Cricetulus griseus: one gene and its partners. The main gene of each other region encodes a partner of the protein of the gene in region 7 in a complex. Links are inferred from orthologs where the notes say so. Each region holds a gene or a part of one and is shown on either strand. Other genes may lie near its edges. The genes, in order: Fen1, Lig1, Pold4, Zranb3, Cdkn1a, Mcm7 and Pcna.

The links.
Region 1: the proteins of Pcna (region 7) and Fen1 are in contact, whole or in part, in a crystal structure (PDB 1UL1), measured with the Homo sapiens proteins. The link is inferred for Cricetulus griseus from reciprocal best matches to the Homo sapiens genes PCNA and FEN1. Residues at the interface, in NP_002583.1 of Homo sapiens: Cys27, Asp29, Met40, His44, Val45, Ser46, Leu47, Ala67, Met68, Gly69, Asn95, Ala96, Asp97, Leu118, Met119, Asp120, Leu121, Asp122, Val123, Glu124, Gln125, Leu126, Gly127, Ile128, Pro129, Glu130, Gln131, Glu132, Glu201, Pro202; in NP_004102.1 of Homo sapiens: Arg19, Phe27, Gly28, Arg29, Lys30, Lys80, Val167, Lys168, Ala169, Gly170, Pro188, His208, Ser210, Arg211, Leu296, Lys297, Trp298, Ser299, Glu300, Arg332, Ser335, Thr336, Gln337, Gly338, Arg339, Leu340, Asp341, Phe343, Phe344, Lys345.
Region 2: the proteins of Pcna (region 7) and Lig1 are in contact, whole or in part, in a cryo-EM structure (PDB 8B8T), measured with the Homo sapiens proteins. The link is inferred for Cricetulus griseus from reciprocal best matches to the Homo sapiens genes PCNA and LIG1. Residues at the interface, in NP_002583.1 of Homo sapiens: Met40, Ser43, His44, Val45, Leu47, Leu126, Gly155, Arg210, Ala252, Pro253, Lys254, Ile255; in NP_000225.1 of Homo sapiens: Ala361, Gly363, Arg364, Ser368, Ser388, Thr389, Gln390, Arg391, Leu392, Met393, Leu394, Val432.
Region 3: the proteins of Pcna (region 7) and Pold4 are in contact, whole or in part, in a crystal structure (PDB 6HVO), measured with the Homo sapiens proteins. The link is inferred for Cricetulus griseus from reciprocal best matches to the Homo sapiens genes PCNA and POLD4. Residues at the interface, in NP_002583.1 of Homo sapiens: Met40, Ser43, His44, Val45, Ser46, Leu47, Val123, Glu124, Gln125, Leu126, Gly127, Ile128, Pro129, Gln131, Tyr133, Asp232, Val233, Pro234, Tyr250, Leu251, Ala252, Pro253, Lys254, Ile255; in NP_066996.3 of Homo sapiens: Lys4, Arg5, Leu6, Ile7, Thr8, Ser10, Tyr11, Pro12, Val13, Val14, Lys15.
Region 4: the proteins of Pcna (region 7) and Zranb3 are in contact, whole or in part, in a crystal structure (PDB 5YD8), measured with the Homo sapiens proteins. The link is inferred for Cricetulus griseus from reciprocal best matches to the Homo sapiens genes PCNA and ZRANB3. Residues at the interface, in NP_002583.1 of Homo sapiens: Met40, His44, Val45, Ser46, Leu47, Gln125, Leu126, Gly127, Ile128, Pro129, Asp232, Val233, Pro234, Tyr250, Leu251, Ala252, Pro253; in NP_115519.2 of Homo sapiens: Asp1071, Ile1072, Thr1073, Phe1075, Leu1076, Val1077.
Region 5: the proteins of Pcna (region 7) and Cdkn1a are in contact, whole or in part, in a crystal structure (PDB 1AXC), measured with the Homo sapiens proteins. The link is inferred for Cricetulus griseus from reciprocal best matches to the Homo sapiens genes PCNA and CDKN1A. Residues at the interface, in NP_002583.1 of Homo sapiens: Cys27, Asp29, Met40, Ser43, His44, Val45, Ser46, Leu47, Ala67, Met68, Gly69, Ala96, Asp97, Leu118, Met119, Asp120, Leu121, Asp122, Val123, Glu124, Gln125, Leu126, Gly127, Ile128, Pro129, Gln131, Tyr133, Ala208, Asp232, Val233; in NP_000380.1 of Homo sapiens: Arg143, Gln144, Thr145, Ser146, Met147, Thr148, Phe150, Tyr151, His152, Ser153, Lys154, Arg155, Arg156, Leu157, Ile158, Phe159, Ser160.
Region 6: Pcna (region 7) and Mcm7 share a complex: the UniProt entries of both Homo sapiens proteins name them as parts of the replisome complex. The link is inferred for Cricetulus griseus from reciprocal best matches to the Homo sapiens genes PCNA and MCM7.

What each region holds. Positions count from the first base shown.
Region 1 is NC_048596.1:50,248,125-50,252,055, reverse strand, and holds the start of Fen1 (flap endonuclease 1), read right to left. Parts: upstream 2,801-3,931; 5' UTR 2,494-2,800; exon of another isoform or gene 2,483-2,493; intron 1-2,482. Other genes in the region: transmembrane protein 258, read left to right, coding at 3,053-3,055. UniProt on the Homo sapiens protein: Structure-specific nuclease with 5'-flap endonuclease and 5'-3' exonuclease activities involved in DNA replication and repair.
Region 2 is NC_048602.1:26,552,844-26,556,343, reverse strand, and holds part of Lig1 (DNA ligase 1), read left to right. Parts: intron 1-66; coding exon 67-158; intron 159-366; coding exon 367-466; intron 467-1,555; coding exon 1,556-1,641; intron 1,642-2,277; coding exon 2,278-2,393; intron 2,394-3,500.
Region 3 is NC_048596.1:55,018,304-55,021,965, reverse strand, and holds Pold4 (DNA polymerase delta subunit 4), read left to right. Parts: upstream 1-1,475; 5' UTR 1,476-1,681; coding exon 1,682-1,778; intron 1,779-2,078; coding exon 2,079-2,168; intron 2,169-2,339; coding exon 2,340-2,451; intron 2,452-2,797; coding exon of another isoform or gene 2,798-2,822; exon of another isoform or gene 2,823-2,860; coding exon 2,861-2,897; 3' UTR 2,898-3,162; downstream 3,163-3,662. UniProt on the Homo sapiens protein: As a component of the tetrameric DNA polymerase delta complex (Pol-delta4), plays a role in high fidelity genome replication and repair.
Region 4 is NC_048598.1:60,708,631-60,712,572, forward strand, and holds the start of Zranb3 (DNA annealing helicase and endonuclease ZRANB3), read left to right. Parts: upstream 1-1,142; 5' UTR 1,143-1,391; intron 1,392-3,942. UniProt on the Homo sapiens protein: DNA annealing helicase and endonuclease required to maintain genome stability at stalled or collapsed replication forks by facilitating fork restart and limiting inappropriate recombination that could occur during template switching events.
Region 5 is NW_023276806.1:257,585,737-257,589,748, forward strand, and holds the start of Cdkn1a (cyclin-dependent kinase inhibitor 1), read left to right. Parts: upstream 1-1,212; 5' UTR 1,213-1,452; intron 1,453-4,012. UniProt on the Homo sapiens protein: Plays an important role in controlling cell cycle progression and DNA damage-induced G2 arrest. Involved in p53/TP53 mediated inhibition of cellular proliferation in response to DNA damage.
Region 6 is NC_048597.1:116,878,920-116,882,975, forward strand, and holds the start of Mcm7 (DNA replication licensing factor MCM7), read left to right. Parts: upstream 1-1,256; 5' UTR 1,257-1,380; coding exon 1,381-1,411; intron 1,412-2,147; exon of another isoform or gene 2,148-2,298; intron 2,299-2,687; coding exon 2,688-2,767; intron 2,768-3,539; coding exon 3,540-3,704; intron 3,705-3,788; coding exon 3,789-3,913; intron 3,914-3,984; coding exon 3,985-4,056. Other genes in the region: Ap4m1 (AP-4 complex subunit mu-1), read right to left, coding at 94-190, 269-375, 715-803, 894-951. UniProt on the Homo sapiens protein: Acts as a component of the MCM2-7 complex (MCM complex) which is the replicative helicase essential for 'once per cell cycle' DNA replication initiation and elongation in eukaryotic cells.
Region 7 is NC_048599.1:46,331,537-46,335,595, forward strand, and holds the start of Pcna (proliferating cell nuclear antigen), read left to right. Parts: upstream 1-1,259; 5' UTR 1,260-1,269; coding exon 1,270-1,490; intron 1,491-2,216; coding exon 2,217-2,314; intron 2,315-2,462; coding exon 2,463-2,530; intron 2,531-2,802; coding exon 2,803-2,997; intron 2,998-4,059. UniProt on the Homo sapiens protein: Auxiliary protein of DNA polymerase delta and epsilon, is involved in the control of eukaryotic DNA replication by increasing the polymerase's processibility during elongation of the leading strand.

The DNA of each region.
Region 1 (3,931 bases), on a different chromosome or scaffold from region 7:
CACGTGCTGGGATTAAAGACGTGCACCTGGCTTTTAACAATTTTTTTGTTTTGAGACAAGATTTCTCTGTGTAACCGCCTTGGCTGCCCTAGAACACGCTCTGAAGACTGGGCTGGCCTCAAGTTTACAGAGATAAGTCTATCTGCCTCCCGAGGGCCAGGATTAAAGGTGTGCACCACTGCTGGGCAATGACGCATGCCTGTTTAATCCTAGCACTTGGAAGGCAGAGACAAGTGGATCTGAGTTCCAGGCCAGCCTAATCTATATAGCAAGCTCCAGGCCAGCGAGAGTTACAGTGAGACCATGTCTCAAAAAACAAACAAAAACTTAAGTTGGAAAGAGAATCCATTTTAAGCAAAAATAACTGCATGTGTCAGGCAGTGGTCTACAGGCCAATCTGGTCTACAAAGCCAGTTCCAAGACAGCCAGGAGTACACACAGAGAAATCCTGTGTGTGTGTGTGGGGGGGGGGAACCTGCATATATCAGTCATATTTTAATGTGTTAAATATAATAAAAAGGATTTTCTAATACATAATTTACTAGCATCATCTTGCTTGCCCAATGATAGTGTTTCCACACAAGAAAATCCTATCAGGCAGCCGGTGGTAGTGTACGCCTTTAATACCAACACTTGGGAGGCAGAGGCAGGCAGATTTCTGTGCATTCAAGGCCAGCCTGGTCTACAAAGTGAGTTCCAAGTCAGCCAGGACTGTTATAAAGAGAAACCCTGTCTTGAAAAAAAAAGAAAGGAAGGAAGGAAGGAAGGAAGGAAGGAAGGAAGGAAGGCAGGCAGGCAGGCAGGCAGGCAGGCAGGCAGGCAGGCAGGCAGGCAGGCAGGCAGGCAGGCAGGCAAGCAAGCAAGCAAGCGAGCTGGGCAGTGGTGGCGCATGCCTTTAATCCCAGCACTTGGGAGGCAGAGGCAGGTGGATCTCTGTGAGTTCGAGACAAGCCTGGTCTACAAGAGCTAGTTCCAGGACAGCCTCCAAAGCCACAGAGAAACCCTGCCTCAAAAAACAAAAACCAAAGAAAGAAGAAAGAAAACCCTATCCTAGGAGTTCTAATTGTTCCCAATCTTACTCCATGGTATCTTCTCTGAAGCCTATGTGACACTTATACTCCCCTTCCTGAGTCCCAACACCTCAGTAGGAACAGCATCAAAATCTACCTGTACAGTATGGGAGCCTAATTAAAAGTCCCACCTCCCTCTTTCGATCAGCCGTGTGTTCTTCCTGCCATCCTTCCTCTCTTCTTCCTGTCTGTATTATTGTGGTTCCCCTATGAATACAAGCAGCCAAGTCCAGCCTTAGGGCTGAGGATTATAGCTCACAGGTACAGCAGCTTTGCCTAGCAAGGCTGAAGTCCCCGGCTGAATCCCCAGCACCAGAAATCAAATAAAAAGCCCAGCTTCGAATCCAGCCACCACCCATGAAACCACTTGATGTGTCCTGTGCATAACAACAGGGACTGACCTAGGGCCTCACATATGCTAGCGCCAGCAAGCGCTCTACACTGAGCCACATCTTCAGCTCTGTGAAACACAATTAAGGCACTTACTCTGTGGTATGAGTTGTGAAAGAATCATTTCTGCCTTGCAAAACTGGCCAACACCAGGTGGAAAGCACACATCACCAGATGGTGTGCCAGTGTTGCCCACCCAGTGCTCTGGTTCATGTCTCACTGCTTTGCTAGAATGAGTACAAGACAGCACCCATCCTGTCACAGAGGATACACTGTTCTGTCTTGATGCCATCTCAGTCCCGCCTCCACAGGATGTCCCAGATAGCAAACCCTTACATGAAATGGCTGCATGGAGGATAAAACGCCTCCCTCAGCCAGAAATATCAGAAAGCACAGTGTCTCGGGAGGCTGCAGAGATGGCTCAGAGGTTAACTGGCTGTTCTTCCAGAGGACCGGGGTTCAATTCCCAGCACCCACATGGCAGCTCATACCTGTAACTCCAGTCCCGGGGCTTCTGACACCCTCACACAGACATACATGCAGGCAAAACACCAATGACCATAAAATTATTTTTTTAAAAAAATATCCTGGACCAAAAAAAAAATAAAATAAAAAAATAAAAAACAGCACAGAAGAGGAGGAGGAGGAAGAAGGAAGGAGAGGGGGGGAGGAAGGAAGAAAAAGAAAGAAAGAAAGAAAGAAAGAAAGAAAGAAAGAAAGAAAGAAAGAAAGAAAAGGACGCAAGCAGTGTCTCTTGATGTCAGCAGACCTTGGACCCATTTCCTAAGAGGTACAAAACCTCCTCACAAGGGCCCTCGGAGAAACAGGCTCTGCTCTCTCCGGGTGGACTGAGGTTCTGCTTCGGAATCCCCGAACTGCCAGCTAACAAACTCCCCTAGCAATACCCTGTTAGTCGTCTTCCTCTTGCAGTACCCCGCAGACCCGGGCAGGAAACGGACTGAACAAGTCGTTTCTAGTGTTTCTAAAATAAGGCCGTAGTCCTCGCGGGGAAAGGTTATTACCTACTTCCTACCGGTGAAGAGACGGAGGCTCCCAGCAGCGCGAATGGTCAAAGCCGGGGCCGCCTGGTGCTGCTCCCGCGGTAACTCGTCGCTCTCAGCACCGCTTCCGCGAGGCCTCACCCTCCCTCGGCAGCTAGCGGTGGTCCGGCATCCACGGAGTCCTCAGAACCGACTCGAGCGCGTTCTTCTGATGTAGAGCCGAAGTCGTTTCCAGCTTCGCCGCCTTCCAAAGCCCGCGCTCCGGTCACGTGACCCGCCCTCCGCGAACAGCCTCCTGGGAAATATAGTGCAGTCTCTGCCACTTCAGACCGCAGCTTTCATAGTGGACCTTATTTCCGGGGAAAACGGATTAAAACAGAGACTCTGCACTACCCCCTCTCACATTCCAACCCCATGTCACTCACATAGGTCTTCAGAGTCCCAGTTACCGTTACACCTGAAACCGCGGGACTACAAGTCCCACAATGCCACGCGCGAGGGACCACATCCTCTTCCTGTTGCTCAACGCGCTTGCTCTTGCCGACGTGTTCTTCCGGTGGTGGACCGGTGGTTTATCGTGTGCGGGGCAAAATGGTGAGATGGTGGGAGTTGCGGACAGGGCTGTGGGCCAGGACTCCTGGGTATCCGGTCCACACCGCGTTCTTCCGCGGAGTCGTCAGCATTCCGTGTCCCCAGGGTGGGTCGCTGCTGGAGCCCATGTTTAGCTGAGGAACGGGGAAAGCAAGCCCCTTGCCGAGAATTTCTCAGACTGAGGTTTCCATCACAATGGGCTTATGATATTGTTGATCATAAGGCTGAGGGGCGTGGGGTGCACGTTGAATACCTTCGCGCGTTTATTTCTCTTTCCTATGATCAGTTATCGCTATCTGGAAAGTTTCCCTTGCTGAATTCATCCCGCAAGGCCCTTGGATACATGTCATTACCTGGTGAAACACTTGCAACTCTCACAGGCACTTGTCTGTTTTCTGGGCTCTTACAGTCTCTGTACACCTCTTGCCACGTTTCGTGGACCTCTTTTTTATCTGCCACGCCTCCTAGTGACCACCATCTGACGTGCATCTAGTTCTGGGGTGATGTCTATTCTTCTTTGTATTCTTGTTGCCAAACACTGGGCCTGCAATTGGAGGCTCCATAAATGGCAGCAATTGTCTTTGGCTTTTATAGGGGGGAAAGGGGGACATAATTGTTTACTGAATTGAATTCCTGTGTCTCTTAGAACAATGGGTTCAGTTTACTTCTCTGGAGTTGTTATGTTCTGGACTTTAGAGGCATTGGCTGGCAAGTGACAATGGAAGTTAACATTTGTACAGAACTTTGCATTTATAGTCCTTTCACAGGCATTATCTCATAATCTTCTCTACAACCTTAGGAAGGAAACAAATACCTATTGAGCAGTTACTCCATGGCAGGCAGTCAACTAGATGTGTCAACATTTATCATCTTTCTCCA
Region 2 (3,500 bases), on a different chromosome or scaffold from region 7:
AGACAAAGTGTGGAGGACAAGACTGGAGAGTGGCCAGCCCACTCACCCCTGCTGCTCTCTCCTCAGGTCCCTAAGTGGACGCCTGCGCCTCGGGCTGGCTGAGCAGTCCGTCTTGGCTGCCCTTGCCCTGGCTGTGAGCCTCACACCCCCTGGCCAAGGTGAGTAGCTCTGGCCCATTTTTATGGCAACACTGTGTTTATAGGGCCCCCCTTCTCCATCTGTTGCCCCATTCTCCGAGAATGCTCTTAGGCAGCCTACCTCATTCCTTTCTCTGTCATAGGCCACACACTGCCCTCCATGACTATGGGCCCTTGAATAGCCAAGGGGTCATGTTCATAACTAAGCCACTGGTGGGTCTTTTCATAGAATTTCCCCCAGCTGTTGTGGATGCTGGGAAGGGCAAGACCACAGAGGCCAGAAAGACATGGTTGGAAGAACAAGGCATGATCTTGAAGCAGACCTTCTGGTGAGATGCAGGGCTGGGGCAGAGTCGTGGCCGACACGTGAGTGATTGACATGGGTCTAACACCAGCATGGGGCTGTGATCGAGGCAGGGGTGATGCTGGGTTGTGAGCAGTGAGAGCAGAGCAGACAAGGAGAGCATGTGGGCCTCGGGCACAACCTGCCTGGAGTTCCAGCCAAAGCCCTAAGGGACCCAGAGAAGAGGCTGTGACTACTCATAGTCGATGTTACAGGCACAGTGAGGGTTAGCGCTCTGTAGTGAGCCACATGGAGGGACTTTGGTGAGCAGCTGACCTACGACCTTTAACTCAGTGACCTCCTCAGTGAAGGAGGGCAGTGAACAGTTCCGTAAATAGCCCCAAGGCACCTGATCTGGGCCTGACTTCTCTGAGTACTGGGCATTCTGTGATAAGTTTTGTACACGTCACCCAGTGGCTTAGCATCTGGAGGCTCCACCATCTGCCAGGCCAGGCTCTGTCCTGACCCAGACCAGCCGGGACGGCCATAGCCTTGAGTGGGACACAGTCATTGCTCTTGGGACATGAGCAAGGGGTGAGGGAGGGTCCACGCTGAGGGAGACCACCCTCATGGGGTGGCACGGTGACTGGGAGTAGGACACGGTCACAGAGTTAAGCAGAGGTATTCAGGAGCCCCAGTCTGGCATGGGCTGAGGGGTCTCTGTACTTCCGCTTATATGTAGACAGCAGAGTTTTCAAGTTCTAGAAAGAACCTCCATGGGTTGGGTGTGTGGTTTACACCTGAAATCTCAGGACGCACTTGGGATTTCATGTTAGAGTCCAGCTTGGGACCCTGTTACAGTGCAGCAGATCCTGTCTTGTAAAATCCCCGAGTGGGCATGTGGCTTAGCAGTTGAGCACTTGCCCAGAATCTCACAGTTAGGTCGGGGCTAAGGCATGGCTCTGTGATGCAGTGTCGTCTGCCTAGAATGATCCGTCCTGATCTGGGTTGGGGCTGTGGCCCAGCAACATCTCCTTCATATGCCTGAGATCCTGGGTTCTACCCTTCCTCCCAGTACCATGGAAGAAAACAAAAAGCTTGTCATGTTGCTCTCTTCTCTTCAACCTCTCCCTAGTGAGGTACCTGACCTGGACCGAATCATCCCGGTGCTGCTGGAACATGGCCTGGAACGCCTCCCAGAGCACTGCAGGCTGAGCCCAGGTACCCGCCACGGGCCTTTGAGGCAGGGGCAGCTATCCTCTGGAGCCTGAGTGAGCAGCTGCACCCAGACAGCCTCTGACTGCTTGTTCCCTTTGCCGAGACCCTTTCCTTTTCCGCTGAGCGCTCCCTTATGAACTGAGAGGAGCATGGGCTGCAGCAGCACAAATTTCCCAGAAGGCTCAGGCAGTGGCTTGGCCAAGGAGAGTCTGTCATGCACCTCCATGTTCAGATCCCGGCAGGCAGCCATGGCGGCATGTGGCTGTGCTTCAGTGGTCATCCAAGGACCTGGGTTCCTTCTCTCTTGACTCTCTGCTGTCTTGAAGCTGTCACTCTAAATCCTATATGATCAGGGACAGGGGAGGTAATCGTGTTGCTTGTCAAGCATGCGACTGGTGTAACCATACACTGCTCTTGTTACTCCTGTGCCCGCTTTATGGCCTTTATTAGCTGCCAGGGAGGCTGGTACAGGGACCCAAGTGTGTCTTCTGAAGTGTGGGTGGTCCTGTCCTTTACATGATAGCAGGAGAAGAGAGTAGTAGGTCCTGGGCAAATTGGTAGCCTTTGCTGCTCCCTCTATCTAATTCCTTGATCCATAGCCTTCCCTCTGACTTCCTAATTTGCTTTCTTCCTTCCCAGGGGTCCCTCTTAAACCAATGCTGGCTCATCCCACTCGGGGTGTCAGCGAGGTACTGAAACGCTTTGAGGAGGTGGACTTTACCTGCGAGTACAAATATGACGGGCAGCGGGCCCAGGTATGGGTAAAGCACAGCCCCTCCTGTGGGAGGACGGTACTCAGTACAGGCCCCGAATGGCACAGTCCTCTCTGGCTTTAATCTGCCCTCTGTTCAGTGAGGGCAGTACCCTTCACCCAGCTTATGGCAAAATGGGGGTGCCAGGAGTTCTGACTACAGAAGGGTCATCAGATGCTAACTCTCCTGGTGCTTGGTGAATGTAATATGGTTGCCCTTCTGGAAGGCCCTGTGTGACTCCTAGTGCAGTGACAGGCATAGGCCTCTCGGGACAGGCATGCTGGGAAGTGTGCTATGGCTTTTCTCTCTCGGTGGGATTTGGGACTAGGTTGGCATTAATCGCATGAGGAAGGGATAGCACGCAAGGTGAGTGGTACCTGGGGCTTTGGGGCAGTCACAGCAGTGGATTCCACATGCACAACCTCAGCTGTGAGTCTTCAGAATAATACTGAGAAGACAATCAGAAAACGGTTTATAATAGTGGTCACGCTATGTTAAAGATATCATGTGTGTGAGATGGCATCTATGTATATAAAACCCTGCTCAAACCCCGTGACCAGACAGTATTCAAACAGCTAAGCCAACAGTAGAATCCAAAATGATTCAGTTGTAGCACAACTCATTCAGACAGGTCTGTGTTGCATTTAGCAAGGTGGATGAGCTTTCAGAGTCAGGGAGGTGGGGCAATGGGAAGACAGAAACAATGAAGGCAGGCACCAGGCTGGGCAAGATGCTTTACCAAGCCTGATGACCTGAATTTGATCCACATGGTGGAGGGAGAGATCTAACTTCCTCAGCTTGTTCTCTGACCTCTATACTCAGCAGTATGGTAAATCTGTGTGTGTGTGTGTGTGTGTGTGTGTGTGTGTGTGTGTGTGTGTGTGTGTGTGTACTCATAGTGTGTGCATACGTGTTTGTGTGCGTGTGCACTTAAGCCTGTGCACATACACATACACACATTTAATAAAGGTTAAAAAAACAGAACAAATAAAGATGGTGGATGCCATACACAGGTTGCAGGTACCAGGAAACTTGAGATGACTTGCTCAGATCTCTGGAACAGCTTGTTGAGCTTCCCAAACTTATTAGTGAAGATGGGGTCTGAAGACC
Region 3 (3,662 bases), on a different chromosome or scaffold from region 7:
AGGAAGTTGGTGAGGGGGAGGTGATAGCAGGGGTGAGTCAGCGATGACAGGAGCCCCAAGACAAAGGTCATGGGTACAGAATTGAGAGACACTGTTTACAGCAATCTACCTCCTGGAGGTTTCTCCCAATGCCCACCATCCTCCTCTAGCTCTAAGGAGTTCTTTCTCCTTCTGCTTTCCTGTACAGGTCTGACAACTGGATGCCCCTCTACCCTGCAAGCTTGGGATCTTCTGGAGCACAAGGAAGGCTAGTTACACAGTATCTGTTACTAAGAGCCCTGATCACAATTTACCTACACCCACTTGCAAAACTCTTTTGATGTCTATTTTGAATAAGGTTGTGGGAACTGCTTAGTACAGCTCTAGGCACATGGTAAGCCCAATATAAGGGAAAGGTTTATTGATGTTATTTTCTGTTATATACACATTTCTAAGAAACAGAGCATATCTGTCAGTTAAGAACTGGAGATCTAAGCTGGGCATTGGTGGCACACGCCTTTAATCCCAGCACTTGGGAGGCAAAGGCAGGTGGATCTCTGTGAGTTCGAGACCAACCTGGTCTACAACAGCTAGTTCCAGGACAACCTCCAAAGCAATACAGAGAAACCCTGTCTCGAAAAAAAAAAAAAAAAGAACTGGAGATCTATGCCAGGCAGTGGTGGCACACACCTTTAATCCCAGCACTCAGGAGGCAGAGGCAGAGGCAGGCAAATCTCTGTAAGGCAATTTCTGTGAGTTTGAGGCTAGCCTGGTCTACAAAGTGAGCTCCAGGACAGCCAGGGCTACACAGAGAAACCTTGCCTCAAAAACCAAAAGGGGGCAGCGGGGGAGAACTGGGGATCTGAACCCATAGGGAGTGGGGACTAGACTTCTGGCATCCTGCTTGGAATGGAATCTTCCTGACTAGCAAAGTGGACAGAGGCAGGCTGTCGGGCCTGACAGTGGACACAGCAACCGCATGCCTGGGCTGGGTGGACAGTGTCTCTGCCAGCGGACTGTGAGAAAGGAGCCTTCGGAGCCCATGGGCTTCTCCAGCCAGGTCTCTTGGGGCCGGTAGGAGCAGGGAAAAGGCCAGGATTAGTTCAAACTCTCTTTGGACCTAAAGATCTGATCCCACAACGCTCTGGGGCCAACCGGCAGGAGTAAAAGGTTCCAGCCGGGCTCAGGGGACTTACAAACTGGCCACGGGGATTAGTGAGGCTGAAAAGAACATTTGCCTAGGAAGGAAAAACGGGAAGTGAGAGGCTGAGGATAACTCTCTATATGTCCCTAGGGACCCAAGTGGACCAATGAGGGACCGGAGGAGGTGGTGAAGTCTGGGGCATCTTGACAGGTCCTTGGTTCCGCCTAAACCCTCCTCACTCGGACGCAGCAGCAGCTGCCCCACCCCCTGCCCTCTGACGACTGCCATTGGCTAAAATTAGGGTCCCGCCCCACAAAGGCCGCTTGCCATTTGCTTAGGCTCTGATGTTTGCGTGCTTGTGGGGGCGGAAGACAGGCGTCATTCTCTGGAACCTAGGGACTTCCTCTCTCTGCTTGTCTGGGTCAACTTGTCTGTCCATCGCTGGCCCATCTCTCTCTGGCCCTCTCTCACACTCTCAGCAGCTGTCTTTCACAGGCCCACTGCCCTGCCTTTTCTTTCCCGCTATTGCCTCCTGCTCCGCCTGCCTGGGTGGCCGCCATGGGCCGGAAGCGGTTCATCACTGACTCCTACCCTGTTGTGAAGAAGAGGGAGGGGCCCCCTGGGCACAGCAAGAGGGAGCTGGCACCAGAGCTAGGTCTCTGAAATGTGGGGGTGGCAGAAAGAGTGGGTATGCAAGTATGCAAGGACCAGAAAGGGGAGGGGGGAGAGGAGAGAGAGAGAGAGAGAGAGAGAGAGAGAGAGAGAGAGAGAGAGAGAGAGAGAGAGAGAGAGAGAGAGAGAGAGAGAGAGAGAAGCTAGTATGTCTCATACTTCTGATGAGCTGTCTGGCTGCTGGATGGCAAAGGCAAATGAGTGAAGATACAGCCAGTGGCACAGCTGTGTCCAGGGTAGGGCAAAGGCCTGGATGGGCCTGAGGAGCTGCATGTTATTGCAGGAGAAGACACCCAGTCCCTCAGCCAGGAGGAAGCACAGCTGGAGCTGCTGAGGCAGTTTGACCTGGCCTGGCAGTATGGGCCTTGCACAGGTGAGAACCCCACCTCCAGCCCACCAGGCACATCTCTGAACCAGTTCTGTCATCGATGTGTTTCAGAAATAATCCAAGTGCCTGCCTAACACTGTCTCCTGAGACTGGCATGTGTGGAGGCCTCTAGCCTGGACTCTTCTGCCCTGCTGAGTCTTCTTTCCACCCTGGCAGGTATCACACGGATGCAGCGCTGGCATCGGGCAGAGCAGATGGGCTTGAAGCCCCCTCTAGAGGTGCACCAGGTGCTGAAGACACACTCTGAAGACCCCCGCTTCCAATTCAGGTCAGGACAGCTTTCAGGGAACCAGGCCCTTCTCTAGGAGTTGCCACTCTCTGGTCTGCATAGGGGCTTCCTTGACTTGGAGAAATGGGCACAGACTTAAGGGGTCCTTCCTGACAAGTAAGAAGGGTCTTCTAGGTGCCTGGCTCAAGACAGACCCCTTTAATGATCCTTACCTCTAAGAGCTAATGGTGGTGCAAGAGTATATACAGGGCCCATGGGGCTATCTGAGTACTGGGGGTTCATCAAAGCCACAGAAGCACACACAATAGTTAAGAACTGCTGAAGATCCATCAAGGAATAGAACTGACTCTGCTCTGCACTCCTCCTCCTCCCCTGTCTCCCACAGCCTCTGGCATCTCTACCCACTCTGAGGTTCCACCCGGGTTGTTCTTCCCTTGACACCTCCTAGCCACCAAGAACTTCTGGACAGAATCCATGGCCAGTAGATGCTGCTCTGCTCATCTCAGCTCTGGAGAAACAGTTAGCAGGCTGACTGTGGAGGTCATCCTGATTCAGCCTCTTACCTGTCCAAGCAACAGGCTCCTGATGCTCCTGAGACCACACCTCCGGGGCCTAATCATGACCACCAGATGCTTGCCATACCCTCTCTGATGTAGTAAATCCAGCACAGCCTGACTCAAAGCCAGATGTCAGAAGAATCAAAGAGTTCACTAACGCTTACAATAAAGTACATTAAGCCTGAAATCCTGACCTTTAGTCCCTTAATATGACTCTGCTCTAGCTGGCAGTTCCCAAAAGGTAAGTAGGCAGGAGAGCCAGCTATAGGCTTTTGTGTTGTCTGTCCCCCCCCCCCCCGCCGCAAAGACATGGTTTCTCTGTGTAGCCCTGGCTGTCCTGGAACTCTCTGTGTAGACCAGGCTAGCCTTGAACTCAGAGATCTGCCTGCCCCTGCCTCCTGAGTGCTGGGATTAAAGGCTGTGTCACTATACCACCTGGCTTCCCTATCTGTCTTTCTAAGGCAGTCTTCTCATGAGCTGAGCAGCCTCTGGTGTCCCCTGGTGGTACTTAGAAAAGCACTCTGAGTCTCCTTCCCTGACCAGCCAGCAAAAAGCCTGTCTGAGGTGCCCAGCTTGTAAGCAACTATTATGTTCTGACACCATAGGTCTCCGTGGGTGTTACTACCACTGAAATATAGCAAAACAAACATGGAAATCAGTTATGTCATATGGTGTTCAGCATTAAGTAAAATT
Region 4 (3,942 bases), on a different chromosome or scaffold from region 7:
CCTCAGAAACCCACGGCCCAGGCGGGCTGGCGGGGAGGGACGCTGTCTCCTCAGCGCGTCGCTCCCTGGCTGCCTCAATCTCCCGCTCCGTTAGCGCTACCGGTCGGCGGGCGGGGGAGGGGAGCGAGCGCGTTATTCCCGGGACGCCGCGGGGGAGGGGACCGCATCGCTTACCCGCGTTACTGAGGAGAAGGAGCAGGAGGAGGCGGCGTGAGCGCGGCGCGGCGGGGCGACGGCGGGGCCGGCTGGTTGCAAGGAAGAGTCTCACGGAAGGGAATTAACCCCATCACCAGCCCGGACACCGGCTCCAGCGGCAGCCGCGGCGGCAGGATCCCGCCCCTTCCCACCACGCACTAGTCCCGCCTCTCCGTTCGCGTTGACGGGTAGCCGGCTCCCTCATACGCTAGATGAACATTGAGTGACATAAAGTCTATCCAATCAACGTTTAAAAACCACTTTAGCTCCACCCCACTGTCGCTGCGGGGCCGCGTTAGAACTGCGCTAAATCTATCTCCACCCCTAGAAGACAAAGAACCAATCCCTGGCAAGCGATCGTCCTTGAAGGACGCAAGAGTCAACCAATGACGAAGCTAGGAGGACAGCCATTTTGCCCACTTGTGAAAGAACCACCTTTTCCCACGAGTAGGACCCTGAGGTAGTCGAGTTCCGGGAGATTTTAATCACTGGGGATATGGAAACAACTATATTTCTTCAGAGAATATTTGTAGAGGTTCTAAGGATGAAATGAGAATTTTTGTCCTTCATGTAGGAGATGTGGGAAGGCTTTAAACATGAGGCTCCTCCCCTTAGCGGTAAAGGATTGCAAGCGGAACACCTGGTTTCTCCAGTCTTAGTGGTGGAGAGCAGGACTACTGAGCACTTTGACTTATGGAACTACAGTTCCCAAGATGCTTTGCGAACCCCCATAACAATTTTCTCCACTTGCTTCCTGTTGCGTCTCATGGGAATTGTAGTTCTTGAAAGGTTACGGTGTGCCCCTCTTCTCCAAATGGGTAGGGAAACCTTTTGAATAATTTGGACTTATGAATGAGGTCGCAAAGTTGTAGTCCGGTCTTCTAGCCTCATTGAAGGAGGAGAGAAAATATAAAAGAAGGATGGGGAGTTTTCTCAGGACATCACAGGGTTTTATAGTGCTGGTATTTTAACTCTCCCACTTTCAGGTCATCCCAACGTCACTTCCGCTTAGGTGCCTACACTTGCAAAAAGCTTGGCGGGAGTTGGAGGTTCTAAAGCTAGTGCACCCGTTTTGTCGGTCTGGGAGTACTGTGTAGGCCAAAGGATTGGAAAGTGAATATACCGGGCTTGGTGCCTCATGCCTATCACAGCAGGAAGCCGAAAGATCGCCGTGAGTTGACAGCCTGCCGTACAGAGTGAGTTTTAGAATAGCTGGGACTACAGAATTGACTTTGTCTAAAATAAACACACACACAAGAGAAATGTGGAATGTCATGGGTGTAATTCCCGAGCCCCTAATGTGATTTCCTATCCTGTTTTTTATTCCTGCGGACCCAATGTTTCTTATCAGATCCGCTCACTAGTAGATTGCACCTCTCTTGAGTTTTTAGAGGACACTTTAATAATTTGCTTTAAACCGGGCGTTGGTGGCACATACCTTTAATCCCAGCACTCGGGAGGCAGAGGCAGGTGGATCTCTGTGAGTTCGAGACCAGCCTCATCTACAAGAGCTAGTTCCAGGACAGCCTCCAAAGCCACAGAGAAACCCTGTCTCGAAAAACAAAAACAAAAACAAAAAAAAAAAAAAAAATTAGCCTTTAGCCACTGTACGTGACGCAGCGTGGGTTTGTTTCCTTAGTTTGAGCTAATTCCTTCTGTTCAAACACTCTACAGAAGTTGCCTTTGAAGGAACAAAGCTCGGGTTGTTAGACTAATGGAATGGTCCCGAGTAACCCTTCCATAATATTAAGTGGCGACCAGGTGACACTTGTAATACTCCAATGACAAAAAGGCATCATCAAAAAAGCCTTCAGAATTCACAACCTAGTAAGCTTATTAAATGAGGCATACCAGATTGATCACCTCAAGCCTGAAGCTACTCAAAGTCTCTTCCATGGTTTTTAAGGAGACTTAGCCTTACAACTTTTCTTGTAAATATTTATTGAACACTGAGACTAGGTAGTGAGTATACCAGACTTAAAGGGTTCAATAGTGCACACAAAGGTTTTGTTTTGTTTTGTTTTGTTTTTTAGGAGTGAGGAAGAGAAAGATTAAACAAAATTAATGTTACTTGGTCTTTTAATATCTCCCTAAATCCATCCTCTTCATACTCATGTTTTGTGTGTTGGTTTGGTTTTCTCTTTGTTTTCTACTTTTAGATTTAAAAACCGTGTTTGTCTATTTCCATTATTTTTACAGAAGTATTGCCAAGTCTATGTCCAGTACTGATAAGAGGTGTTTGTACTCCACATAGATGAAACACCTAACTAGTGCAATCCTAGATGAAGAAATATATCAGTAACTTGTAGAAAGCCAGCACAGTCTTACTTTCTGTTTGTTAAGAAAAAAAAAGTCTTTGCTTTTTAATGTAATACTTCTGCATGTGTGAGTGCATGCATGTGTGTTAATGAACGCATCACTTCCTGAAGAACAGGCATGGTAAGCAGAAAGCCCCGTTGGGCTACTTCATTCCCATCGTGAAGTTAGAATATCCAGTGATGTTTAAGTATTAGGATCCCTAAAAGCTTAATTGGTTTTTATTCCCCATACCTCTTCCAGAGTAAATCAAGTCAATTAGTAGTAATAATGACAATCATATTACTATTTTGTCTGAGCCAAAAATGGGTTTAGTGTGTTTACATATTTCCTTGACACATATGTGATTTTTTGTTGTTGTTGTTTTTGATTTTTGGTTTTGAGACAGGCTTTTTCTGTGTAACAGTCCTGGCTGTTCTGGAACTGGCTTTGTAGACCAGGTTAGCCTTGAACTCACAAGGACCTGCCTGTGTCTGCCTCAGAGGGTGCTGGGATTAAAGATGTGCACCACTACACCTGGCTGAGACTGTCTGTCCTTAGTTGACACTTTGTGAGCATTCCTAGAATGTGTTGATTGCTTTGACTAGACCATCCCAGTTTGTTACCTTGCAGACTTTAACATGTCTAAATGGGTGCTGCCAAAACCCAGCTCTGAGGTTTTTTTTTTTTTTTTGAGTGCTGGAGATAGACTGAGGGCCTTGCATTAGCTACCTATGTGCTCTATCACTGTGTTACATCCTCAGCCTTGGTATTGTTTAATAACTGAAGAAAAGCTGGGAGGTGGTGGCTTACACCTTTAATCCCAACACTCGGGAGGCAAAGGCAGGTGGATCTCTGTGAGTTCAAAGCCAACCTGGTCTACAGAGTGAGTTCCAGGACAGCATCCAAAGTCACAGAGAAACCCTGTCTTGAACCTCCCCTCCCCTCCAAAAAAAAAAAAAAAAAAAAAAAAAAAAAAAAAAAAAAAAAACCTGAAGAAACTGGGGCCTCAGTAAGTGCAATAAGACTTTGAAGTCTGAACCCTTAGTCAAGGCAGTTTGAGACTGAGATACATATCTCGGTCTTTGATTTTCTTTTTCAGCCCTAAACCATTGCTTCTCACATGTTTATGAATCATGGAGTGCTGGTTTCCTATGTCATCAGAGTGCTGGGAATAAAGGCATTCACCACCATGCACAGCAGAAAAACACTATTTTTGTTTTGTTTTATTTTTTAAAGATTTATTTATTCTATGTGTTATGAGTGCACGTATGTATGTATGCCACATACATGCCTGTAAGAAGGCATTGGATTTCCTGAAACTAAAGTTCCAAATGGTTGTGAGCAACCATGTAGCTGCTGGGAATCCAACCTGGGTTCTCAGCAAAAGCATCAAGTTTTCTTAACCACTGACCCATTGCTCCAGAATCTCAGCAGGAAGACCTGTTTTAA
Region 5 (4,012 bases), on a different chromosome or scaffold from region 7:
TTTGTCATGGCCATGAATGTATATGCAGGCACACATGCCAGGTTCTCATGTGGAGGTCAGAGAACAACTTTCAGGGGTTGTTTTTCTCCTTCTTCATGTGTGTGGGTTTTGGGAGCCAAACTCAGGTCCTTAGGCTTGGTGGCGTATAAACTGATGGTGTGTCTGCTCTATGGTATGGCTAAGGGGAGGTATTTTTTTTAATGTAGTTATGAGGAGAGAAAAGTCAGAGGCATCTGGAAGAGACCGGAGCAGAGAGAGAGAGTAGTAGAGGGAACATGGCCAGTGGACTGGACTTGTCCATGAGTGAAACAGGAGCAGAGAGAGAGAGAGAGAGAGAGAGAGAGAGAGAGAGAGAGAGAGGGAGAAAGAGAGAGAGAGGGAGAGGGAGAGGGAGAGGGAGAGAGAGGGGGCAAGCAGAGAGAGGGAGAGAAAAGAACAGGGAGAGAGCAGAGAAAGGGAGAGAGCAGAGAAAAGGGAGAGAACAGAGATGGGGAGAGAGCAGAGAGAAGGAGAGAGCAGAGAGAAGGAGAGAGCAGAGAGGAGAGACAGGGAGAGCAGAAAGGGGGTAGAGAGAGAGAGGGAAGGAGGGAGACAGAGAGAGCAGGCCACAGGCAGCTGTTTTTTTCCTAAGCCCTGAGGGTTTTGTTTTGTTCTTCTCCTTTTCTCTTTGCTTCAGTCCATGGGCATTGATCCCTGGCATGCTAGGCAGGGGCTCGACCACCAAGCTTCATCCCCTAATTCTTTGGTTTTGCTCTTTGCATGAAGTTTCATTTACTGAAACCTCAGGTTGACCCTGAATTCACTCTACAGGCCTTGAACCTTCCATCCCCCTGCTTCAGACTCCGGCCTGACAACGTGAGTATTCTCCCAAAGGCAAGTCCCTTTCCACCCTCTTCCCCTCTGTTCAGAAACCCTAGGTTAGGGAGGATGGGCGGCTGATGGAGCCATTTCCAGCCAGTTGAAATACAGAGAGGGAGATTGGACCTTTCTTGAGGTCTCAGGGAGTGAACCCCCACCCTTCCAGATCTAGGCTGAGCACAATGCACCCCCTATAAGAAATTCTGGGGGGCTTCCTAGCAAGCTGTCTCCTAGGTCCCCAGGGGATTCAGGAGATTTGCCAAATAAGGGATTTCCTGCATGTGGGCCGGTAACTCCTTCGGCTTTGATGCTGTTTTTTTTTTTTTTTTTTTTTTTTTTCCTTTCCTTTGAAAGCTGTGTACCAGAAGGAGGAAGTGGGGTCCTGCTGTGTGTGGAGGCAGTGTGCACTGTTCCTTTGTCCCTGTGTGGACCTCATGGTTTCATTTCTTGTGGTGCTGGATGGTCCACATATGTGAGAACCCATTTCCTAGGCGCCTCTGCAGTGTTCTCTCGGTCTGTGCCTCAGCGGGAAAAGCCTAGGATGACTTCCTAGGCAGGAGGACATCCCATCTGCTCATAGAGACTCCGCAAGAAGTAAGTCACATCAACTGTGTCCCCAGCCAGGGACTACAGAGACCTCTGCAGCCATACACGGCCATCTGTCAGCTTCCCATCTATGGTCTGGTCTAGAGAAGGCAATTTGAGTACTCCTGAGCCAGTTGACAAAGTGCACACATCCTCTTTAGAGCCTTCTCCTTCCTCCAGCCCAGGGAATAGACCTCCAGGCCCTCAAGATTGGGAAGCTATAGGACAGAAAGGGCCTGGACCTCTGACTCACTGCATGGAGAGCACCGGCCACCTAGAACACCTTTCCTGGATTCACGAGTGTGAGAGATGATCTCCTTCTCCCTCAAATCTTTACCTCAGTGAAGTAACTGGCTCTGTTCTATCTTAGTTTCAGTTGGTCTCACGTAGAATGAGTGGGCCTCAAACTTATGGCAGTCCTCCTGCTTCTTCCCCTGAATATCAGGGGTGTGTTGCCACACTTGGTTCAGTTTAAACAGATCTTATGTGGCCTAAGCTGGTCTCAAAGACATGATCTTCCTGCCTGGGGTTATAGGTGTGTGCCCCAAGCACACCCTTGTCACATTTCATAGTCTGTCTGTTTCACAGTGCCAGGCCTCGCTCCATGTCCCCTTCATGCCCCCTCCATGCCCCACCCACCCTGCCAGCTCTTCCTCAGCCCTCTCCTAAGCTCTCAAATGTTTCCAGGAGGACACATGGTCCCCTCTCTACAAGTGCAGGTCTCTAAGAAGCCACAGAAGATCAACAGAGGACATCACACTGGTGACTCCTGGCTCTGCAACCATAGTGCGGCCACTGTCACTGGGGCTTAGAGGAGCTGCTGCTACATTCCGGGGTGGTTCTGGTGCCAATATAACCCCAGAGGAACCCAGAGACACCTTAGGGCAAAGACAAAGATGAGCAGCTGATGGAAGGGGCCACAGTAAAGACCCGGACTCACCCTGACCCCTGCCAGAGTCATTCCAGCCAAAGCTAGCAGCTCCCAGGGCCTTGTTTCCTGTCATCTGCCTACCTGTGCTGGGTGGAGGGGGGGCCATGGTTCTGAACTTCTGAGGCCATTGCCCCACTGTGCAATCAGAGGCTCCGAACCCCAAATCCTTAGCACTTTGATGGTGTATGCTGGGGCTTGTCTTGGGACGGGCTTTAACAAAGAACAGAAATAGTAAAGAATGCCAAGTCCTCTCTTGGGGACCATCCAGAAAGTTGAGCTTGAGGGAGGGGTATCTTGAAGGCTGTTTGTTTTGTTGAAACAGGATCTCATGTAGCTCAGGATGTCATCCAATTCAATTTATAACTGAGGATGACTTTAAACTTCTTTCTTTTTAAAAAAGATTTTATTTATTATGTATACAACATTCTGCTTCCATGTATATCTGCACACCAGAAGAGGACACCAGATCTCATAACGGAATGTTGTGAGCCACCATGTGGTTGCTGGGAATTGAACTCAGAACCTCTGGAAGAACAGTCGTTGCTTTTAACCTCTGAGCCATCTCTCCAGCTCCCTCTTTCTTTTAAAGATTTAGTTTATAGTTATGTGTATATGAGTGTGAGGTTTGTGCATGTGAGTGCAAGTGCCTGAGGAAGCCAGAAGGGGGCATCAGATCCCCTGGATCTAGAGTTCCAGGTGGCTGTGAGCTACCAAATGTAGATTCTGGGTCCTCTGCAAGACCACTATATACTCTTAACTGCTAAGCAATCTAGCCCCAAGACCTTGAACTTCTGAACCTCCTGCTTCAATCTCCTGGTGCTGGATGACAGGTGTGTGCTGCCACACCCAGTTTATACAGTGTTGGCATGGGTCCCAGGGCTTTGTACATGCTAGACAAACTCTATTGACTGAGCTACATCTTCAGTCTATAATTAGATATTTTAAAAACAAAAATGATTGAGCTGCATTTAAATTTGTGTTTTTACCTAACAAACCACATTAAAACCCATTGGTGTGGGTTTGATTCTTACATCACAACAAGCAAGGATGAAGAAGGACATAGCGAGGGCCCAGTGTAGTGGTGCTCACTTTTAACCTCAGCACTCAGGAAGCAGAGGCAGGAACTGGCCAGCACAGCAGGTAAAGGCATTTGCCATCAAACCCGACTGAGTTCCATCCCCGGGCCCACCTGGTAGGAGAAGACTGATTTCTCTGACATCCCCGGGGCCCCATGAAACACATGCACCCACATGCATGTGCACACACACTCACTCACACAAAATAAATAAAGTATAACATGTGCATACATATTTTTTAAGAAGCACAAGCTGAAGCCAGGCACAGTGGCACATACCTTTAATCCCAGCACTTGGGAGGCAGAGGCAGGTAGATCTTCATGAGTTTGAGGCCAGCCTGGTCTACAGAGTGAGTCCTAGGATAGCTGGGCTACATAGAGAGACTCTGTCTCAAACAGACACAGGAGAAACACATGGCAGAGCGGACAACATCTGAGGAATGACAAGCAGGGTTGGATTTTCTGGTGTGACACACCACACGTATACATACGCACCCTTACCTACACAGATGAACACATACATACAATATACAAGAAAGAAAAAAGAAGTTGATTTTTTTTCT
Region 6 (4,056 bases), on a different chromosome or scaffold from region 7:
TCTTCTGATGTACAGATATACACGGAAGCAGAATGTTGTATACATAATAAATAAAATCTTAAAAAAAAAAAGAGGGAAGTCTTTGGGCTTTACCAGTACTTCATCCAGCAGTTCATAGACAAGAGCCACATTCCGTGAGACGGTCCCCTCACTGAGTGAGCCACAGTAGTCACACAAAAGAGTGGCTAGCCTAAGGAAACACAGTTGAGTGTGTGTGACTAACCCTCTCAGGCCCTGCTTCTTGGGTGCCCATCCCAGCCCCACTCACCTGGAAAGCAGCTCGAGGAGGCTGAAAGGAGAGACGTTTTCAGAGGTTGTGGCCACCAAGTAGAGGCCACTGTGTCTGATGTGGATGAAATGACGGTCATCATGGTACTGCGGCAGAGTTGGGGAGAGAGGCATTAAAAGACCAGAATTGCAGTAATGTAGCCCACGAGATGGCATCCTAAGGTTGCTACTAGTGGGTGATCCCTGAAACCTCCCAACTACCTGGCCTCCTAACGTGTAACCTACCTCTCAGGATTGTTGACAGTCAAGTGATGAGGGTGCAAGGCTGTTGCTGGCATCTTGTTAGCACTCAGTAAATACACTTGGAGAAACGTATCCCTTCCCCTCCCTGGAAGCTTCCTATCAAGCAGCCCTTGAAAGGGAGCGATGAGGCACCCACCAAGCTCTACAGTCCTAAGCCCCTGCAAGCCCGCCACAAGTGGTTACCATGACAACCGGGGACTCGCCTCCAGTCAGTCCCGTCAGCTTCCGGTAAAAGAGCTCGGCCACATCACGACCACCACTGTCCCCGCGAACTGGAAGGATAGTTAAGGAGCAGGCGACCCAGAAGGCTCTGGGCTCCACTTCTACCGACTACTCCGCCCCGTTTCGCTGGCCAAGGATACAGTCTTTGTAAATGAGTGGGTCCCCCTTGGAGGACAGAATGAAGAACTGGGAAATCATGGCCGTGCTGGAGGGCAGACGAGAAGACGGAGAAAGCTGAAGCCACCCCGCCCTGCGGCCGACGAACAAAAGGAGGCACGGAGGCTGGCGCTTTAAGAAACACTCCTCCCACTTCCACACGGGAGGCCGTAACTCTGAGCCGCGGGAAACCCGGCGCCCCACCCGCCGGGCCAGCACTCTCCCTGCGGCCCTCCCCCTCGCTGCCTGTCACTCGCCCCAGACTCGCCCAGGGATTGGTTGAAACTGGGTGCCGGCAGCGGTTAGGGGCCCCTGCTCTGATTGGCCCGTACTCAGCGGCACGTATCACGTGGGTGGCGACGTTTCGCGCCAATTTCGGTTGGTGGCTGCATCGCGCCGCGCGCTTGCTCTGCGCTTCCCCGGAGTGAGGCTTCTCGGCTCGCCGGCTCCCGTCGCAGGTCCCCGGCAGCGATGGCGCTCAAGGACTACGCGATCGAGAAAGGTGGCGTGCTGGGAGCGGGCTGGGAGCGGTTCTCCGCGGGCTTCTACGCCTGCCGAGGGGAGCCGGGGTCTGTGTCGGGGGGCCCGGCCTGCGCCCGGGACGAGCGTGGCGGGCATCAGGATGGGAGCGATGCGGTTGTGTGAGGAGCAGGACCCAGCGGGGCCAGGTAGAGGAGGGCGCCACCCCGCACCGCGCCGCGCCGCCGAGACCCGGGTGACGTGGGGCTCGCCTGCAGCGCGCGGCTCGCATGCAGCGCGCGGCCCGAGGGCCCGGGGAAAGGGGGGGCCTCTGCCTCTGCTCTTTGGGGCGCCAGAGAATTCCCGCGTCCACTCGAGACGCGCCGGGGTTCGGGGGCGGGGCTTGTCAGGCCGCTGCGCGCCGGGATTGGTTGTTTTAGTCCGCCCTCCAAGCGGAAGTAGAGGCGGGCGGAAGTGGCGCTTCCCTGTCGGAGGGAGTGTCGTGTGTAAACAGTGTCCTTCCGCGCAGGGGCTCGGGGGTAGCTGCGGCGGGTAGGGGCGTGCCTGGAACTGGGAGGCTGAACGCCCGGCGGCGAGAGGTGGCAGTGAAGTGGCCCCGAGTGGCCCTCTGGCGTGCTGGCCAATCGCCGCACGGCCAGCCGCCTCGGGCGGAGGGATCCTGGGCTGTGAGGCGGCTGGAATCCGGGCCCATGTGCTTCTTTGTTTACTAAGAGCGGAAGCGGTGGCGGGAGCGGGGTGTGGGGTGCGGGGGAGGCCTAGCGGCGGTCGTCCTGGCGGGAGTAGAAAAAGAGTTGTACGGGTGGAAGGAGGACCGAGAGTCTTGAAAGTCGATCGTGTGCGAGCTGAGAGAACGGAAGAAACTGAGACTCCTAACTGGGCAGTGAGTCACATTCTCTTTGGAAGCTTGGGGTAAGACTCTCGTAACTGCCCAGGGACCTGTATCCTTCCCCGGGTAAAAGCAGACTTGTGAAAAGGGGTACTGCCCGCTTGGGGGAGAACTAGGTAGGCTTCTTTTGACTGTTCATTTAACTAATTAGTTCATAGGTCCCGTCCTAAATGAAAGTGGGTTTCTTAGGCTTCCGTTGAAAATTTAAAGAATCCGAAAAGGTAGATTGTGTGTGCTGCACGAACATACCACTACTTGCACGTGGGTGTTAGATACAGGCCGAGAGTGTGTTCTCTCCCAGCCTGTGGGTGGGGCCCAGGGATTGAACTCTGATAGTCAGGCTTGGCCGCAGTGGTCTTTACACCTCACTGTTCCTTAAGATTTGTTTTTGAATTTTTACATTTGTTTGTAGAAAAAGTTAGAAAATTCCTGCAAGAGTTTTATTATGATGATGAACTCGGAAAGAAGCAGTTCAAGTATGGAACCCAGTTGGTAAGTCCCAGGATTGGTAATGGGGGGTTGGAATAGCATGTAAGAACTTGTACAAGGTGGTCTACCTTGTTACAGCAAGTATGGCTGTCAGTGGATTTTTGTTTGTTTGTTTTGTGGGTTTTTCGAGACAGGGTTTCTCTGTGGCTTTGGAGGCTGTCCTGGAACTCACTCTTGCAGACCAGGCTGGTCTCAAACTCACAGAGATCCACTTGCCTCTGCTTCCCCAGTGCTGGGACTAAAGGCGTGAATGATTTGGTTTTGGTTGTTGTGTACAAAGTTTTTCTTTTTAGCTTTGGGTTTTGTCTTTTTTTAACTGTTTGAATTATGTTTATTCGTGTATGTGTGGGCTTACATGGAAATGGAGGTCGAATGTACAATTTGGGGGTCCATTCTCTCACTGTGGGTTCTGGGGATCAAACTCAGTTCTTCAGGCTGGGTGGCAGTGCCTGGCCCATTGAGCCATCACCCCTATTCTTGGCTCTTGGTTTTTAGAGATAGTATTTGTGTGACATGGACTGGCCTCAAGAATACTTCATGTGGTTAAATAGCTGAGATTGGCTTTGAACTCCTGATCATCCTGACTTGTGCCTCCCAAGTACTGGGATTACAAGCACACTGCCATGCTAGACTGTAGTGGCTAGTTTAGCAGAGTACTTGTCTGGTATGTGGGGCAGTGTTTATAGGAGTCAGGAAGTTGTTTTCGGGGCTGAAAGTGTTTCTGCACTGTGATCTTTTGTTTTTGTGGATGTAGTAAACTTGGTCCTTGCCTCAGGTTCATCTGGCTCATCGGGAACAAGTGGCATTGTACGTGGACCTAGATGATGTTGCTGAAGATGACCCTGAGCTGGTCGACTCAATTTGTGAGAATGCCAAACGCTACTCAAAGCTGTTTGCTGATGTTGTACAAGAGCTTCTGCCTGAGTACAAGGAGAAGGAGGTAGGTTGCTGGTTTCTGAGCTCTCCTGCCCGATAACCCCCATTCTTTTCCTGTCCTGCTTCTCACTTTCCTTGTCTTCTTTAGGTGGTGAATAAAGATGTTCTGGATGTTTACATTGAGCACCGACTGATGATGGAGCAGCGGAGCAGAGACCCTGGGGCAGTCCGGAACCCTCAAAATCAATATCCTTCTGAGCTGATGCGTAGATTGTAAGTGTCTTTGTGGGTAAGGTCAGGAACTTGTTCTCCAGGACCTTGCTGACAAATGTTTTCTTCTCTAGTGAGTTGTATTTCCAAGGCCCAAGTAGCAGCAAGCCTCGAGTGATCCGAGAAGTGCGGGCTGATTCTGTGGG
Region 7 (4,059 bases):
ATGTTAGGAAGGCAGTGGTGGCATACACCTTTAGTCCCAGCACTCTGGAGGCAGAGGCAGGTGAATCTCTGTGAGTTTGAGACCAGCCTGGTCTATAAGAGCTAGTTCCAGGACAGCCTCCAAAGCCACAGAGAAACACTGTCTCGAAAAAAGCAAAACAAAACAAACAAACAAACAAACAAAAAGAGGCATTTGAAATAGAAACTGTGGACTTTCACATTAATATTTTACACTTTCGGCATCAAACATATTTTATCCATCACCAAAACAAAACAAAGAGAAGAAACATTAGAAATTAAAAAAAAAAATAGCTTTACATCCGTTTGTAGCTGGTGTCCACCACCTGCATTCAGTTTCCCCCACCCTTATAATCAACAGGAAAAAGAAATTTCAGTAGAACAAAACGCAGCAGGAACACATGCACCTGTAATGGCTGACATTTTCAGGAATGGGTATTGATTTTAACATGAAGTTATTGGTGCTTAGCCTCTAGGCCCTGGGTTCATCTCCAGCCTAGATGGGGTTCAGGCTAGGGAAAGAGGCGTAACAGGGAACTAATTAGGTGGGACCTATGGATTATGTATCTTAAGAGATAGTCATACTTTGGGGTTCTTTGCAGAAGTGTTCACGGCAAGAAGGAACTCTTTAATCTTTAGGGAGGAAAGTTCAGAGCGCCCAACACAGTGAAGTGATAGAAAACCGGGGTTAAGATGTGGTGGCTCCTTCCTTACTCGGTATTTTGCAGCGTTTTCGCCTACGCAGTAGCAAAAGCGCTCTGTAGTGTTTGAAACAGGTATACTTTTCGACTTCAGGCAGCCCTGCACCCCACCCCTCCCAACCCCCGACCCGCGCCTCCCGGCGCAGCTCGGCTTGCACGTGACTTTCATTTCCGTGGCGCGGAAACTTGCCGGGACAAGCCTCCTCCAAAAGGTGGGCCTCCGCGGATCCCATAATGCCCCACGCTTCCCACGCCCGTACGCCGCAGCCCCGCCTCTGTGTACGCGGCAGGGCGGGCCTTGCGCGGGACTCGGATACGATTGGTTCTGAGGGGAAGGTGGGTGGGGCAGCGCGGTGACGTCGCAACTCTCGCGCACGGAAAGAGCGCGCGCCTAGGAAGCGGCAGCATAAAAACGGTTGCGGGCGCCCAAGTTGGTAGTCGCTCCCTGCGGGTCCTCGCTGCCACTTCTGCATCGCGAGCCGGGAGACCTTCGCGGCCGGCCCTCTCTCCTGTCACAGTCTCTAGTATCTAGTCGTCGCGACTCCGCCAGGATGTTCGAGGCTCGCCTGGTTCAGGGCTCCATCCTGAAGAAGGTGTTGGAGGCTCTCAAAGACCTCATCAACGAGGCCTGCTGGGACATCAGCTCGGGCGGCGTGAACCTGCAGAGCATGGACTCGTCGCACGTCTCCTTGGTGCAGCTCACTCTGCGCTCCGAAGGCTTCGACACATACCGCTGCGACCGCAACCTAGCCATGGGCGTGAACCTCACCAGGTGAGCGGGTGGCGGGAGCTGGGCTCTAGCCCTCCCGCCTCGGGTCTTGGCGGGGCTCCGGCTCCGTGCTCTCATTGGCTGACGTGGTCATCCGCGCCTTCTGATTGGTGTCTGGAGCTGGGGGCGGAGCCCGAGGAAGCGCGCGGTTCTGAAAAGCCCGCGCTGGTGGCCGCGCGAACCCGCTGTTTCCGCGCCAAAGCCACAAAACGGGTGCCGGCGGGAAAATGCCTGCGTTGGAGATCAGTTCATTAAACGCCAGCAGCTTTTTTTATTTCAGGGCACAACCTTGTCCTGGCTAATTTTAGCTGCCTACTAAACGTGTTCTGGTGAAAATGTGGTACTGTCCACTTAGAGGGACAATAGGCCTTTTCTACTTGGAGTCTAGAATCTCATTGCGAATCATTTGTGGGAAAATTTACCAGTCTTAGCTTTTAACTTTGTTACAGATGCATGAATTTGCCACCGGTATACGTTTTAAAAGATTTGTGAAAAGGCCACATATGATATAGGGCACACTCTGATACACTGGAAACCAAGGACATCCTGCTCAAAAAATTATTTACTGGCATATTGCCTTTGAGTGGTTTTAAGGATCACATTCCCGATAGTTTACTCCCCCCCCCAGGGGATTTGGTGTGGGCGTAAAAGGGTAACATCTTGTAATTGCCTTTAAAAGAGTAGATGTTGAACACATGGTGTTGATAAGCCCTGCTTCTTGTTTTCTAGCATGTCCAAAATACTAAAATGTGCTGGTAATGAAGACATCATTACACTAAGGGCTGAAGATAATGCCGATACTTTAGCACTCGTATTTGAAGCACCAAGTAAGTTACACCTCTAAAACTCAATTGTTACAGAAAGCAAAGTATGATCTGTTTCTCAAAACTAAGGATATTAACAGAATTGCGGTTGTAAAGTTTTACACCATAGGTATGAACATGTGCTTCAATAACATTTGCTTCCTTTTGTTAGATCAAGAGAAAGTTTCAGACTATGAAATGAAGTTAATGGACTTGGATGTTGAGCAACTTGGAATCCCTGTGAGTATCTTGTTCTCGTTTCTGGTGGTCTTTGAACTCATTCTGTAGACTCAAACTCAGCAGAGATCTGCCTGCCTCTGCCCCCTTAGTGCTGGGAGAATATCCTGTTTTCGCTGGTGAATTTTACCAAGCTGTGATACCAGCTGATGAGTTCCAAAGTGGGTATTTGGAATGAAAGACAATTTCACTAAGCAATGACAGTCTAAAATTGAGTTTTAAAGAAATCAGATACTTGTCCTCACACTTCTGACCTTTAACTTTGGGATTTACAGGAACAGGAGTACAGCTGTGTGGTAAAGATGCCTTCTGGTGAATTTGCGCGCATATGCCGAGACCTTAGCCATATTGGAGATGCTGTTGTAATATCCTGTGCAAAGGATGGGGTGAAGTTTTCTGCAAGTGGAGAGCTTGGAAATGGAAACATTAAGTTGTCACAAACAAGTAATGTTGATAAAGAGGAGGAAGCTGTAAGTAGTAAAAGTTGTCTGCAGTGTCTGAAAGGGGAATGAATATAAGCTTAACTGCTGAGCTGGTTCTCCAGACCTAGCTCTTTTGAGGTGGAGTGTGAGTAGACCAGGCTGTCTTTGAACTTAGATACTCCACACTCTGCATATATGCTTTCACAGGTGGGACTGGGAAGCTAGGTGTTTCCAAGCTTTTGCTTCCTAGAATGACTGACAAATAAGCATTAACAAGTGAACAGAAGAAAATGGTTGGGGTTGTGAGTCTGTTGGGATCATGTAGATCTTGTAGTAAGTAGCTTTGTGTTGGACTTTCACGTGCTACCCCATTTAATGGTGCAAAAGCAGACTAAGTAAAGTTGAGTGTTGATAAGTTTTAAAGTCCTCAAAAATGAGGAAGATGTTGGAAAGGCAAAGGAAAAATGCCTGGAAAGCCTCATTCAAGCAGAAGATACTAGGCTAATTGCTAAATATTCAGAAGTCAAAACTTTTTAATTATACTAAGTTTTTTAAAAAGTTTTGCCAGCTAGTCTGAGCATCAGACTATAAATTGCAGACACAGTCTGAACTAAATATGATTTTTAGTGCTAAATGTAAAATTCGGAGTGCTTAACACAAAGTGTTTAATGTTATTTTGTCTGCAACTTGTATAACTGAGGATTAGAACATATATACACAACCCATAGGGCTGGTTCTTAACCTTAATCTGTCTGCTTAATTATTCCTACTTACCTGTCATCCTCAGATCACAAGGTATTTAATTCATAAGTATTTTGTTTAAAGCATAAGCATTACCACAACAAAGGAAATTAAGTTTTCAGTATTCACATGTTTCTTATTTCCTTAGTTTGAATTGGGACTTGAAAAAAATTCCTGATAAAATGAAAATTGGTCAACATGTCCCTTAGCTTGCATTTAACTTGTTGCTTCTTGTTACTAGAGTTGGTTATGAGCTGCTGGATGTGGGTGCTGGGAACCAAACTTGGATGTTGTGGAAGAGCATCGAGTATTAACTGTTGGGTCATCTCGCCAGCCGTGGTTACTTTTGGGGGTGGGAGTTGAGTGTTG